Linked DNA regions of Rattus norvegicus. The protein of the gene in region 2 purifies or fractionates together with the protein of the main gene of each other region. This does not show direct contact. Links are inferred from orthologs where the notes say so. Each region holds a gene or a part of one and is shown on either strand. Other genes may lie near its edges.

What was found. Proteins that work in one complex are often made in the same cells at the same time.
Region 1: the proteins of Cdk8 (region 2) and Med31 purify together in Homo sapiens (affinity purification with mass spectrometry; 7 studies listed by BioGRID and IntAct, with this or other methods). This does not show direct contact. The link is inferred for Rattus norvegicus from reciprocal best matches to the Homo sapiens genes CDK8 and MED31.
Region 3: the proteins of Cdk8 (region 2) and Med12l purify together in Homo sapiens (affinity purification with mass spectrometry; 3 studies listed by BioGRID and IntAct, counting the BioPlex papers as one, with this or other methods). This does not show direct contact. The link is inferred for Rattus norvegicus from reciprocal best matches to the Homo sapiens genes CDK8 and MED12L.

The regions. Positions count from the first base shown.
Region 1 is NC_086028.1:57,335,872-57,340,532, forward strand, and holds the start of Med31 (mediator of RNA polymerase II transcription subunit 31), read right to left. Parts: upstream 3,019-4,661; 5' UTR 2,963-3,018; coding exon 2,935-2,962; intron 2,045-2,934; coding exon 1,967-2,044; intron 1,694-1,966; coding exon 1,597-1,693; intron 4-1,596; coding exon 1-3. Other genes in the region: C10h17orf100 (uncharacterized protein C17orf100 homolog), read left to right, coding at 3,315-3,716. UniProt on the Homo sapiens protein: Component of the Mediator complex, a coactivator involved in the regulated transcription of nearly all RNA polymerase II-dependent genes.
Region 2 is NC_086030.1:13,915,094-13,919,745, forward strand, and holds the start of Cdk8 (cyclin-dependent kinase 8), read right to left. Parts: upstream 2,900-4,652; 5' UTR 2,886-2,899; coding exon 2,758-2,885; intron 1-2,757.
Region 3 is NC_086020.1:145,401,642-145,406,335, reverse strand, and holds the start of Med12l (mediator of RNA polymerase II transcription subunit 12-like protein), read right to left. Parts: upstream 3,019-4,694; 5' UTR 2,768-3,018; intron 1,976-2,767; 5' UTR 1,854-1,975; coding exon 1,755-1,853; intron 1-1,754. UniProt on the Homo sapiens protein: May be a component of the Mediator complex, a coactivator involved in the regulated transcription of nearly all RNA polymerase II-dependent genes.

The DNA of each region.
Region 1 (4,661 bases), on a different chromosome or scaffold from region 2:
TACCTGGGTTTAAGTTCATAAGTCAATTATCAACATAATTTAAGGCATCCCAAGTTCTAAATCAGATACTCCCCTAAAAATGATCTCAAGCCCACCATTTCTACTACTATGGTACCTTTGGTAAAATCACTCCTACCATGTTATTCAGAACATTATGCAAGATATAGTGGAGTTATTTCACAACTTCTCTCGAATTTAAACATCTATAGCTGTTACCTCCAAGAGGACACAGATGAACAGAATAAGGAACAAGCCTACAAACGGCTTAGAGCTACAAGGAGGTGTATTTGATCAGAGTATATAAGAAGAGCTCCCTTACCTCTGGCTATCAATGGAGTAAGCTGCCTCTAATAGTAGAGGGACCTATGATCATAGGGAGCCTCCAACAGAGCGGAGACAATCATCTTTCAACAGCTGGGCTGGAGAGACTGAGCTTGAAGGTGGCTAAAAGTTTGCTAACATGTAACATGTTATACTTTTCTTTCTTTTTTTTTTTTTCTTTTTTTTTTTTTTCTCGGAGCTGGGGACTGAACCCAGGGCCTTGTGCTTCCTAGGCAAGCGCTCTACCACTGAGCTAAATCCCCAACCCCATACTTTTCTAATAGTAATTTCAAGCCTATCATTTGGATTCCTAGAGGAATCTAGAATTGCATCATGAAGAGCAAATCTACAGGCAGCCCAGGAATCAAGTCAGAAAAATGACTACGATTAAAAAAAAAAAAAAGGTTTGAAATGTTTTCCTCTAATTTTTAAAATAGGGTCTCTCTGTGTGGCCCTGAATGGCCTGAAGCTTGCAACATAATCAGGCTGGCCTCAAATTCACGGAGATCTGCCTGACTCTGCCTCTTGAGAGCTGGGATTAAAGGGACACCAAGCTACTTCTGGGGTTTTTGTTGTTGTCCCCTCCTTTGGGGCAGTGTCTAGACAGGGTTTACCTGGGTAGAGTGGCTGTCCTGGAAGCAGCTCTGGCCTTGAACTCACACATGCGCCCGCCTCTGCCTCCCAAATGTTGGGATTAAAGCCAGCTTGGCTTTCTTTTCTCTTTTTAAGTCAAAGCAGAGTTTGATGTGATATTGTTGTGTCTGTTCTTTTACAGTGAGTTAATACGCACAGTGATTGAAACAAAGGACACCACAAAGAAAGGCAGGACCTCTAAGACTCTCAGGAAACAGTTCTTCCTACCGTCACAGGTTATGGGTTGTTAGGCCTCAAAACCCCAGAAAGACAGGGGCAGTGCTAAGTGACATGGTTAGACACGACCAAATTACATTAGAACTGTAGTCTACAACAGTTCACTGGATCTTAGCCTGCACGAACAGTATGCTCTGACTTACACTGCCAAGAGAGTAAGCTGGCTCCCACGTAGACAGTTCTTTGGTTTTGTTTGAAGGGAGTGAGGTAAGAATGGTAGCAGAAATAAATGAAATTCCTGTCATAATCAACCCAAGTTAGAGATAACAGCGTCTTACATCAACTAAAAGCAGAAAGATCCCAAATGCTGTTTTCCATTCTGACACCGAGAAAACTGCTAAATAATAGCACTTAGTATTTATAATAAAGTACACACAGCTTTGGGATTTTAAAAATTAAACTTACTTTAGATATTTGGCATATTCTGGTTCTTTCCAGTAAAGCAAGTACTTAAGATAATTAACAAAAGCTTTGTCTTTGAAGTAACCTCTTTGGGCGAGAACTGAAAGACACAAAGAAACACTCTGTATGTCAACCACTGCTGGGCTGCTGATCTGTAATCTCTTAAGTAAAGTAGCTCTTCTTAACATCCCTACCGACAAAACACAAGGGATTAAAAAACACAAGCCCTTGTTTGCTCAGTTGATACTTACAGACCAGCACAAGTAAAACCCCAAACACATCGAAGTAAATAAATACTATTACAAATTGCATCTCTTCTCAGAAACCATTAAGATCTAGTGAGCTACTTAAGTTAATGATGTACTTAACTTACAATTAAGGTAATTTGGGTTGGCTAAACATTGCACAAATTCCAACTCCAACTGAAACCGAAGTCGATTTCCAGCATCATCTAGGAGAAAAGACAGTAAAAAAAAAAAGAGAAAGAAGGAAGGAACGATCACCCAAAATAAAAGTCACAATACAAACATTGATTTGTAGAAACAAAAATAAAACGCAGGTCAAACAGCTCAGCAAGTAAAGGTGCTTGCTGCAAAGTCTGATGACCTGAGTTCGATTCCTGGAACCTACAGGGTTGTAGGAAGACAACCGATTTCTGCAAGTTGTCCTCTAACCTTGGCATGCACCGCCGCTCACCCCCATAAACACACACACACATGCACACTCATGAATGAACTCAAATATCAAAGTGTGGAAGAAACTTCCTTAGAAATTTAGTTTAATTCACTACTTAGTGAGCCCTGTTTCCAAAACAAAAATAGTAATAAAAAAATCCTTTAAAGTTCGTTGAGGAAAAAATATGTAGAACCTGTACGCCACTGTGGAAGGACGTGAGCGGAGATTATCGGATAGTCTGCAATAGCTGTACGGTTCCCTATGTTGTTATAACCACAACTAATTACGTTAAGCAAAAACAAAGTGCTACACAAAAACGAAGCAGGAATGATTAAACAATGGAGAGAAGACGGTGATATGCATTAGAATACACAGGTTACCGACATTTCAGGCAAGTTTGGAGAAGTTCCAAAGAGCAGACAGTGGAAGGTCTCAGTCCTTTCTATGCGCCCCGGCCCGCCCCGCGAGTCAGGGTTGGAGTAGGGGTTAGAGCAACACAGGAGCAAAGTTGGTCCTACAGGCCATATTCTGGGGGGCAACACCGCCTTCTCCTCCGCCGGTCCCAACTCTAAGGATGAGGAGTTGAGCCCGGAAGACGGCGCAGGGGAAGGGAAACGGGAGAGGATTTTGGGGCGAAGGACCATTCCCGTGCAAAACACAACGCACCTGTCTCCATAGCGACGGCCGCGGCCATAGCAAGCAGAAAGGCGCAAACACTACCAACCCGACCCAACCGCAGCCCGGATTGGTGAAGGAGAATCCGGAAGTCACGGGTCCTACTTCCGGTCGCGGGGCAGAGTGGGACACGAGGGCGGGGACAACTTCACTTTGGGGAAGAGTGGCCCCGCCCATCTGTGCGGACCGGGCCGACTGCGCGCGCAGATATCGAGCGGGGCGTGCCGGAGGGCTTCTCTGATTTCAGGTCTGAGTCCTGCTGCCTACTCTGATGTAATACACCTCTCTGACGTCACCTTCCCCCGGGTGGCGTGACGCAGAGCATGATCCTTGGGCTTCTTTGTTCCTCCTGACCAAAGTGTACGGGCAGGATGGCCTCGCCCCTTAGGAGCAAGTCCTCCGTCCCGCGAGTGGAAAGCACCCGCCACAAGGAGACATCGACTGTCCGCATGGAGACGTCGTCCCACCGCGAGGAAACGTCATCCCACCGCGTGGAGACGTCCTCCCGGCAGGTTCTAACGTCTTCCCGGCAAGTGGAGACCTCCCAGCGCCACCGAGAGGGACCCTCCCTCACCCCCTCCGCGAAGCGACTCCCTCAATTCCTCGAGGTGTCCTCCCAGCACGTGGAAACCTCCTCGCAGTGCATGGAAACGTCCTCCCGCCACGTCAGGGCGTCGTCATCCCTGCGGGTGGAGACTACTGTGCACCGCGTAGAGAGCCCAGCCAGGCGAGACAAGCAAGCCACTCGGCAGAGTGCCAGAATGACTCGATGAAGTGCCATGGTCCTTAGCCAGGACTGAGGAATTGCCAGCCAGCTTCCAGGAGAGCCAAGTATCTTTGGTTTCATGGAAACAGCCCATAAAACAGTGTAAGAAGCAGGCTGTGGTTTCTGGGCACTGTTAACATGTATTGACATTGCAGCACCTTAGTCCATCCTGCTGTTGACCCAGCGTACTATTAACCTGAAGCCAGCACAGAAAGGTTTCCGATTTGTAGTACTGTGTAAACCCAGACGATGGACAAAGAGATTCTTTGAGTCTCTACACCAGGTAAGTTTTATAGTCTTAGGTCCCTCTAGAATGTGTTGACGACTTGAAATCTGCGAAGAGGGGCCAGATTTGTCATGTTTCTTGACTACTGGCCTGATCATATACCTGCTTGAAACCTACAGAGCAAGGCATCATCTTTCACAAATTGTTAATTACCCTTTAATAATATTTATATTTCATAATAAGTTTTCTCGTGTTAAGTTGTTATACACAGTATTCCATCTACACTTTAAAAAATAGGTCAGGAGCTATTAGAAAAATAAGGGCAGGGCAATTGAGAAAAAAAAATACTAATCTTGGGAGGGAACGTGAAGAAGCAGCCATGACACTTGGTCTGGGGCGTGAGATTGGCAGAGGATGGTTACTGAGTACCTACAGCATGCTTGGTACCAGTCAGAACTTGTCGGCTATAGCAGTGGAAAAGACTAAGATCTTCTCAAGTGAAGAGAAAGTAAGACGATGTTCTGTTGTATTCCTGTGAAAGATAAGGTATCTATCTTGTGGTAGCGAGTAGGGCGCTCTTTCGAGAACATGGTCAGGGAAAGCCTTGCTGATGACACTTGGTCTGAGATTGTGTGGGTTAGCAGCAAGCCATATCAGGATCTACAGGGAAGTACATTTTACACAGTACATTTTAAAAAAAAAATTGGAGATGTTTATGGAAGAGAA
Region 2 (4,652 bases):
AGGTGGGCTCTGAGTTTGAGGCCTGCCTGGTCTACAGAGTTCCAGGGCAACATAGTGAGACCCTGTCTTGAAAAACCACACACACACACACACACACACACACACACACACACCCCAGAAGAATTAATTTCAAGATATATAGTGTGCACTTATTTTAACTCTCTCAAAACCTGAAATAAGCATGATTATAAAAGGCCCTTTATCTTGTATAGTCATGCTTTAAACAAAGTACTTCCTTACTCCCTTTACTCCTTATGATGCGAATTTTTTTATCTGGCATATAATATACAAGAAGGGTGGTATTACTAACTCACGATGCCACAATCATTAAGCGATTTCCTAAGCTTGAATAATTCAACAAGCTAATTCCTCTAGTCTAGATTCTTTACCCCATATTCTGTTTACTGGACAGCTGAAAGAAACATTTTCATGTATTCGTTTTAACAACCAAATATGTCCAAGCAAAGGCATCCCCATTATTTAACTTTACTGCAGGGTTCCAGATTCTCTTTAAAGTGTTATTCCTGCCCAAGTTCCTTGAGGACTGGGATATCTCAGTGGCAGAATATACCATTTAATTTGAAAGTAAATCAATACCAGAAGCAAGTGACTTGACCATCTTACTATAGAAGATTCAAACAGCCACAAATGGCATTACACCAAGTCCAAGAATGCATAAAGTTGTGCTTCACTCAAGTATGTCATAAATACAATGTAGCACATTAGTAGCCTGGCCATATAAACAAGCCAAATGGAGTATTCCCTGCGGAAACCAAAACTATCCCAATTCGAAAACTCTCTTGACATTTGATGCGCTACAAAAAAGAATTTGGTTCATCACAACAAACAGAATCATTAAAGGTTGCTGGAAAACAAACCCAAAGGATTACAGCTTAAAAAACAATCCCCCCAAATGCAAATACTCATTTGCAATTGCCACAGATGACTAAGAAATACACACTAACAGCAGCTATTTGAAGCTATATAGTTTCTTCTGAAATTATTCGCAATAGCCTAAATGAAAACCTGATCATCAAGATGTAAAAGGTGTTTAAAGCATCTCCCTCTATATGCATATATACTTGAAAAAAAAAATAGACCACACTCAAACACATTTGGATAGTTTATTAGCTTAAACTGATAATTTATAAAACTAGAATTGGCTGTTTTTATAAGAATAAAATATAGAAACCACTCACATTTTTTTTTAAAACAAATGACAGACTGGTCAAATGTACTATAATATCAAATGTCATGGGAGTGAAGATTTTATTACCATGCCCCAAACTACATAGCACTAAGGGATGGAGGATGCTTTAGCCCTTCTGAAAATTATTATGCAGTAAATTGATTTGGATAATTTCTTTAAATATAATTCATTAATATTGATAAAACAAATCTAGTTAGACAAGAATTAATGAGGGCTCTGGATGTCCCTGCTTTATACATTCTGCGAAAAAGGTTTTAAACCTACAGGGCACCCAGATCGCCAGATTGCCCATCCCCTCCTTTCTGCCCAGAGCTGCATGGTTCCCTGTTGCACAAAAGCACTGAAATACATGATAAACCAGGAAGCTATTCCAGTAAAGCGAAGAGAAGTGTTTAATAAACAGACACTTCCTTTTCCATTATCCAGACTCGGAAAGTATGTATAAATAAGCTCCCTCAAGAAGGACTTACTCCAGCTTTAGCCTTTTCATTTACGGTGCTCATGCAATTCTGAATATGCACTCCTGTGAACATGAAAAAAGCCATTTCCCAAGCAGTGAAATAGCAACTAGCCAAATAAGATACTCAAAGAAAGCTGTTTCTAATAAATCCAAAAAATTATATAATAAGCTATGATAATCCTCCCAATAATTTCCCAGTGTTAAAGGCAGAGATAATATCTATTTGTACAAGGAGGAAACGGGAAATTATTAAATATTTTCTCCCAAACTAAGAAGTACTTTCCCTTCTGGCAATATTACAATGCAGTCATCTACTGATGAAAGGGAAAGGAGCCCATTCGCTTTACTCAATTGAGAGAAATCCCCAGCCAAAGGTTTAATTTTTGTTTCTAGAAAAGAATATTTAAAGCAAAAAGGTTAAAGTTCACTGACAGCTGATACATTCTGCTTTAAGAGCTTGCACAACATAGACTCTATCCTTCACTTGCTCCCCCCCACACACACCATCCACTTTGCACCAAATACCCATTGTTCTATATAAAAAACTCACAGCTAATGATACCTGAATAGCAACTGCTACATTTACATTACAGATGATCCTCCCTGGAACTCTCCAGAACCACATTTACTCGCTGCCTTCTTCTTTCTCCCAATCAAAGCCAAATTTGGTCATCAACTGATCACAACTGATTAAGGGGAAAAGATCAGCTTCTCTTCCAGACTGACGGGACAGAGATCATACAGACCCAGATGAGTTAGTCCCCAAAAGGTTACCGGATAAATCCACCAAAGAAAAACAGATATATTTAAAATGGCATTTTATAACCATCTTCTTTTAAAAAGGAAACTGCACAGGACTGAAATCCCCCCCCACCCCCAAAAAAAGGTACACTGCCCATGAGACAGAAGGTCCTTCTCCCTCTTGCATGAAGGGTTCCTTATGAGTCTGGATTCCTGGGACACCACTTCCTCCCCAAATCAGGCTGGCCAGGACAGAGGCAGTCTTGGAGGAAGTGGGGACCCTGGCACCCGGGCCAGGCACCTGCCTCCCAGCCTCGAGGACACCCACGGCGACATCCACACTCACCCATCTTTCCTCTTCGCCTTGTAGACATGCCCGTAAGTGCCTCGACCAACTTTGCAGCCCTCGTATTCAAACAGGTCCTCGACCCGCTCCCGCTCGCTGCTCAGCTTCACTTTAAAGTCATAGTCCATTGTCACAGCCTCCAAGGCCGGGGTGCTGGGGCGGGGGCCCGAGGGCCGCGGTGGGGACCCGGCCGCGCGGCAGCCGCAGCCCCCGAGCTACACCCGCCGGCCGCAGCACCAGCCCGCCTCACGCGGCGACGGCAGGAGGTCCCGCGCGGGCGCCGGGGACATCCAGGGGAGCGCCGGGCGGTCCCCGCGGGCGCGCGACAGCCGAGGGACGCGCTGGGGGCGGGGAGCGGCGTCCGCCCTTGTCCCCGCGCTCCCGGGGCGCCGGCTCGCGCGCGGTTGGCCGCGCGTGCTGCTGCGGGTGCGGCGCGGGGCGGCCACGGCTGACTCTGCTCCTCGCCCACGCGCGTCCGCGCCTCACCTTCTTCCACACGCTCTCACGAACACTCAGGCAGCCATCCGCCCCAATAGACCAGCGACGCCACACAACAGCCGGTAGCTCCTCCGAGAGAGGAGGAGAAGGAGAAGGAGGAGGAGGAGGAGGAGGAGGAGGAGGAGGAGGAGGAGGAGGAGGGAGGGCGAACTCGGAAGACGGCAACCGCTGTCGTAAAAACGTCGCAAAGCCTCGCGCTGCCTCCGCCCCACCTGTGAGCGGCTTAGGAGGTGGCAGCCGCCTCTTCTGACGCCAGCAGGCGAAAGGGCCTCGCTCAGCGGCGGTGCGGAGATGCTGACAGACTTACCACGTGGACCAACCCAGTCGGCAGTGCAGCCAAAACGCCAAGGCTCTTGTGCACGGATGGCTGCTGTAGCCGACTTTACCACGACGCGGCGAATTCAGAACGTTGCATGATGGGATTGGTAGTCCATCACGCAACGAGTTTCTGCTGCATGGAGATTATTTTTCCCAAAGCCACATCTGTACAATCCAATATAAGTTTAGCAAAAGACACCCGTTAGTGAAGGAGTTATTTTGTATTGGAGTCACTTCTGAACTCCAGGATTTAAAGGGCAATTGCTGCTCCCTTCCAGCCCCAAGAGTCCAGGTTTTCCCTCTTATAGCCTCTACCTGTCTCTAAATGCTACAATAAACCACGTAATTCTACTTAAGGTTTCTCTTCTTTCATCTGACTGCATCTCTCATGAAATTCTCGGGCTACGTGCTAGGTAAGCATATCGTCATACTTCCAGCCAGGTAAAGCCGTTTTCACTTCAGTTAATACTGAACTCTACGAACAGAAAAATAGTTATCACTCAAAGAACGTAATAGTTTATTCTAGAGACAAATATGAGGGATCATGGCTCAGAGACACAGATTTAAGTTACCACAAATTCCAACGTGGTAACAGTTTAATAACATCGTTATACCACGAGGAAAAAACTTAGTGAAGGGACCTGGGGAGATGGCTAGATTGATAAAATGCTTGCCACGTGTCGTAATACGATTTCTGTTGCTATGATAAAACACCATGTCCACATACAACTTGGGAAAGAAAAGATTTATATTAACTTACAGGTAACAGTCTGCTGTCAAGAAGACAAGACACCTGTTTAAAAAAAAAAAGTTTTTAAGCCATACATGTTTATGTATGTGCTTGTCATACTAATGCAAGGAGGGCAGAAAAGGCAGGATAGGACCTCTGTAGCAGGATGACCAGCTAGCTTTACTGAAATGGTCTGCTCTCACGGTTCCACGACAGACATCAACCTTTCGGCTCCAGACACAGGCGTATACATATGCTTACACTGGCACACATATGTGCTTATACAAGAACGCTTATACACACATGCACACAGGCAGATAAACTGGCAGAAATGTCAAGTAGGCTGCTG
Region 3 (4,694 bases), on a different chromosome or scaffold from region 2:
TCAAGAGAGATAGAATATCGGTCGCCTGGGGGAAAGTGAATCCTAAGAGTAGCAGCGCAAGTCACCCAGAACACAGTGCTGGTTTGGATGAGTACTGCACGGATAATCCTATGTATGCGTGTTCACCACACACTTCAGAGAAACCAAGTGCTTCTGGGCTTCAATCATCTCATTTGCTCAAACCAAAGTAGGAAAGGTACCCTCTACAGTCGCTTCTTCCAGTCTTAGGTTTCTAGAAAGTGACCCAAAATCCAAAATTATTCCTTCCGGGGTCCAAATCCTGAACTGACTGTCATGTGTAAAACTGAATGCTAAACAAGCACACATGCTAATCCAAGCAACCAACCGGAAGCTAAGGAGCTGCCTCATTACATCTCTCTCTATAAACTCGTAGTGAGACATTAATTATAAGATGAGCAAAGTCAACGCCCCATCCCTACCAAAACTTAGAATTCTACCAGTAACGCTTAAATCAACGTCCTTTATTTACACTTGGTCCTTAGAGTCTCTATCCTTTCTAAACCTTAGGAGCTGGGTGAGGAAATGCTGCCCACCTGTAGACTTTCCAGCCATCTTCAATCTTAACTACTCCCGCTGATCCTCAAATTCAATGTGATAAGGCCAAAAGGCATTGCTCATGATGACTTCTCAGACATTATTAACCAGTCTGGGCTGAGCCTCTACTAATGAGACTGATACATTTATCAAAACAGAAGCCCAAAGGAACTCTTACTTGCAAAGTTCTCTTGTGAAATCAGTGGACATGCAAACTTTTCCGGCTCACAGAAAGAGGAGCACACAGAGCCGTTTCACATTTAACTATAGAAAAGGGAAGATGGGTGGGCTGTAGTTGGCACCGTCTAAAAGGACAGCTGGGGAGCAGGTGACCGATAAAGGAAAAGATAGGCAAATCTCTGGGCAAATTGTATAGCCAAGGGCAATCACCATTCTGGCTGGAGACTTGTTACATAATTACTTGTTAACTCCTGCCACATACCTACATAGCTTACACTAACCACTGAAGCCACTGTAAGTGCAACAGCCAAGGTCTCCCCAATTAATTTCATTCAAAGAAATAAGTGATCCTGAAAGCTATTCCTTTCTAAGGTAACTTGCTTGATTCTACACATATAAAACAGCCTCCGGAAAAGCCGATTGCCTCTCTAGAAACAAATTTCAGAGTTTCTCTTCAATATTGTTTTCTTAATTTTTTTTTTCAAAAGGAGAGATACAGAGATACATTCACAGAGCCAAATATATGATCACCTCGCTAAAAACGACTTCCATTCCAAACTGGAGGATGTGAAAAGGGTCCCTCCCCCATCCGTGCCTATACCGTTGGCGCAAAACGCAAGACCACGGTGTCCGATGTACTGCATTCCAGCATTTGTCAAAAAGTTTACCAGGATTTATCGAAGCGACGGAGTGAAAAACAATAAAACAAACAGAAACGAAGGAAAGCGAGAAGGAAGATGCAAGCGAGGAAGAAGCGGTAAAGCGCCCAGCGGCGCAGTGCAAGGCCCGACAACCGCGAAGCGACCCAGCCCCCCGCAGAGCGACCGCCCAGTGGAGCGCGGGGGTTGGCAGGCTCCAGGTCTCAGTAGCCCAGGTCCCTGATACCCCAACCCGAGCCCCGCCTCCGATCCCCTCCGCAGCCCTTCCCCCGCAGCGCCGCGGACGGCCGCCGGGCCAGCTTGGCCCGGGGTCAGCGCTGCGGAGCGCCGCACAACCGCGGAGGCCGCCCGCGCCCTTACCTCCTTCTGCTTGGGGTCCTGCGGGTAGACGTCGGGCGGCCCGAGCCGCGGGCGCTTCAGCGGTCTCTGCTCATAGCTGAGAAGCCCGAAGGCGGCCATGATCTCTCATGTTAACCGGCGAAATGAATGAGAGTTGGAGCTGGAGCAGCCGCCTCTGAGCACCAGGGAGCAGCACTTTGCAGACAGACTCCCTCTTCCCTCCACTCTGGCTCGCCGTGGCGCTGCAGGCAGGAGAAAAAGCAGGTTGGAGACGGCCGCTGCCCGCGCGCAGACGCGCTCAGGGGGGCCGCCTTCGTGGGCACCCCGCTGCGCCGAGCCCCGGGACGCCTGCTCCGCGGGCGGCGGCGGGGCTGGAGGTCGGCCAGGGTCCGCCGCGGCGCCGGCCTCCCGCCACCCCCACCCGGTCCCTAGGGGGAGGAGCAGCTGATGGGAACGTGTGACTTTCTTCACCAATGAACCCAAACCCACCCAGGGGGACACAGGCTGGGGTGGGGGAGGGGCATAAAGGGGGAAAAAACTTTTCTTGGCGCCTAGGCGGGAGGCTCGGTGCCCGCCGAGAGCTAAGCGTCCTCGGGCCCGCGAGGCGCTGCGCAGCGGCCCGCGCCCACTTCCTGGCTCGCCGTGCCCCGCGCCCGCAGCTTTGCACCCGGTGGACCCGCCGCCCAGACACAGAACGGCGGGCGCGGAGGGAGAGAGGCCGCGAGAGGCGAGGATGCGGACGCCGAGCGAGGCCGGTTCCTCCGAGCTCAGCTAGTGCACGAGCTGCGCGGGTCCCCTCGGCGGCGCCCGGGCGCTTTGCTGGCTGCCGGCTGCAGCGGCCGCGGTGGCTGGAGGGGGCCGCGCTCGCTGTGGCGCGGGGCCGACTTAACCCTTTGCTGGCCCTCTCGGGGCTGAGGAGGGGGTGAGCAAAGGTGGCCGCGAGCACCGACGGACACATCCGGAGCGCGGGCGTCTCGGCTCCCCGGGCCACCCCTAGACGTCGCGCGCCCCGATCCCCACCCCCAACAGTTTACCTGTTGGTCCCTAGCTAGCGGCTAGGCAGGGGCGGGCGGCCGGGACGCCCTGGCGGCCGCAGCCTCCATCGCTCCGATAGGGTTGGGGAATTGGATTTGACGTTGCGAGGTGTCTGGCTCTCCAGACTGCGGACGCCGCGAAGTTTGCGGCTGCCTGGGGGCGTCGCTCGCCGCCGCCGGCGTTCTCGCCCCCACGGCCCGGGAGCGCGAGCTCCCGAGTTGGCGGACGGCGGCGCGACGGCCGCACTGAGCATGCCCAGCTTGGCGGCCGGACCGCGGAGGAGTTGGCTGCGAGCGCCTCGAGCGCTCCCATCTGCCTCTCCGGGTTTTCGCAGCCGCAGAGCGCGCAGTCCACCGGCCCTGAGCCCCAGCTGGCTGCAGGATTAACCCGGCTGTGGAACCAGCACCAGGAGGGACCCCGGGCCTCGAGCTGCGCCCTCCGCCTCGACCCCTCCTGCGGTCGCCATCCCGGCAGCCTAGGCGACACCTCACCTGCTCGCATCACAGGGATGGGAACCGCGGGGAGGGGGCGATCCTTTCGGGGAATCTGGTCAATCCACCTGCCGGCGCCCCTCGCTTTCTCCAGGTAGACACGCAGATGCCGGGCCACCAGCAGTGAGCATTGAGACCTAGCCTCGGAGGCGGGCCCAGTGTGTCCTAAGGGACCCTGCAGGAGGCGCGCCCAGGAGAAAGCGCCAGCACTTGGCCAAGAATGATGGCTGCCATTTATGGAGTCTTCCTTTGGTTGTATGATCTTGAGGGTCTGAATTTGCTTCTAACAACAAACCCTCCAAGGTTTGACTTCAACCTCTTTATAAATGAAGGAAATTGTGTGAGCTCAGAGAGCTTAGATGACTTGTTCAAAGCTGCAAAAGCTAGTCGGAATTTGAACCTACCACTGCTGGAGCTCAGGTTTCTGACCTCACTCTTCTGCTTTGATCGGGAAAGGCTGTGTGCTTGATCTGCCCTTGGCCTGATTGTGTCGCATTCCCCATAACTTGAGGAATGTTTTAGACTCCTAGTTCCCAGCTCTGGAGAAGATGCACACAGAACTACCTGCAGCCTTTCTATAGTACCTGGTACATGTTGATGATATACTATTTGCTGGCTCTAACCCAAGGGAAGGAAGAAGGAAGTGGATAAGACGATGGCATTGTAGAAGACTAGTTCTTCATTGCTCACCCTCTGAACTACGAGTATCTCCAACCTAGCCTAAAACCTAAATGGGGCTCTATGAGGCTAAATCCGTCACTCAGTGTGAGCTAGGCCTTCTACAGTATACTTGCCTTCACCAAGATGGTTGGTTTCCTTCCACTGCCCACCCTGCCATGAACATTTCTCATCTAATACGCTATATGTAATAACTTCACGGTGCAGTTTGCCTTGTGTTATAGCATACGTCAAATCCAAATCTTGCTTGGAAGAAAATACAGTTTTTATTCATATCTAACTTTATTAGAAAATGTATTGAGCTTACCAAAAAGTGAAGAAAGTATATAATAAATCCCGAGTATTTATCATCTGTAATGATGTTTCACCATCTTTATTCCTCATACTTTCCCCATTCTCAGTGGACTGTAGTTCTCACTGATACAGTAAGGACAATATTTTCATTATTGCACGAGGTACACAGCATAGCATTTGGCACATCTCAAAAAATTGTCGATTTGCGGGATGGATAATAGATGGTTGAATGGGTAAATGGACTTAGGAGGTCATCCCAAGTAATACTTTACAGGTACTATATGATGCTACTCAGTCTGAAGTCTATTGGTAAGATACATGCCTAGTTTTCCTCAGGGATAACTCACGGCAGAATAACCCCACGAAGCACTTTTGCACAGGTTTCCTTTGCCTGTATACCCTCTATGCAGACATTTCATAGCCAATTTTCTCTCCTTGTCAACCAGATATGCTGTGCAAGCCA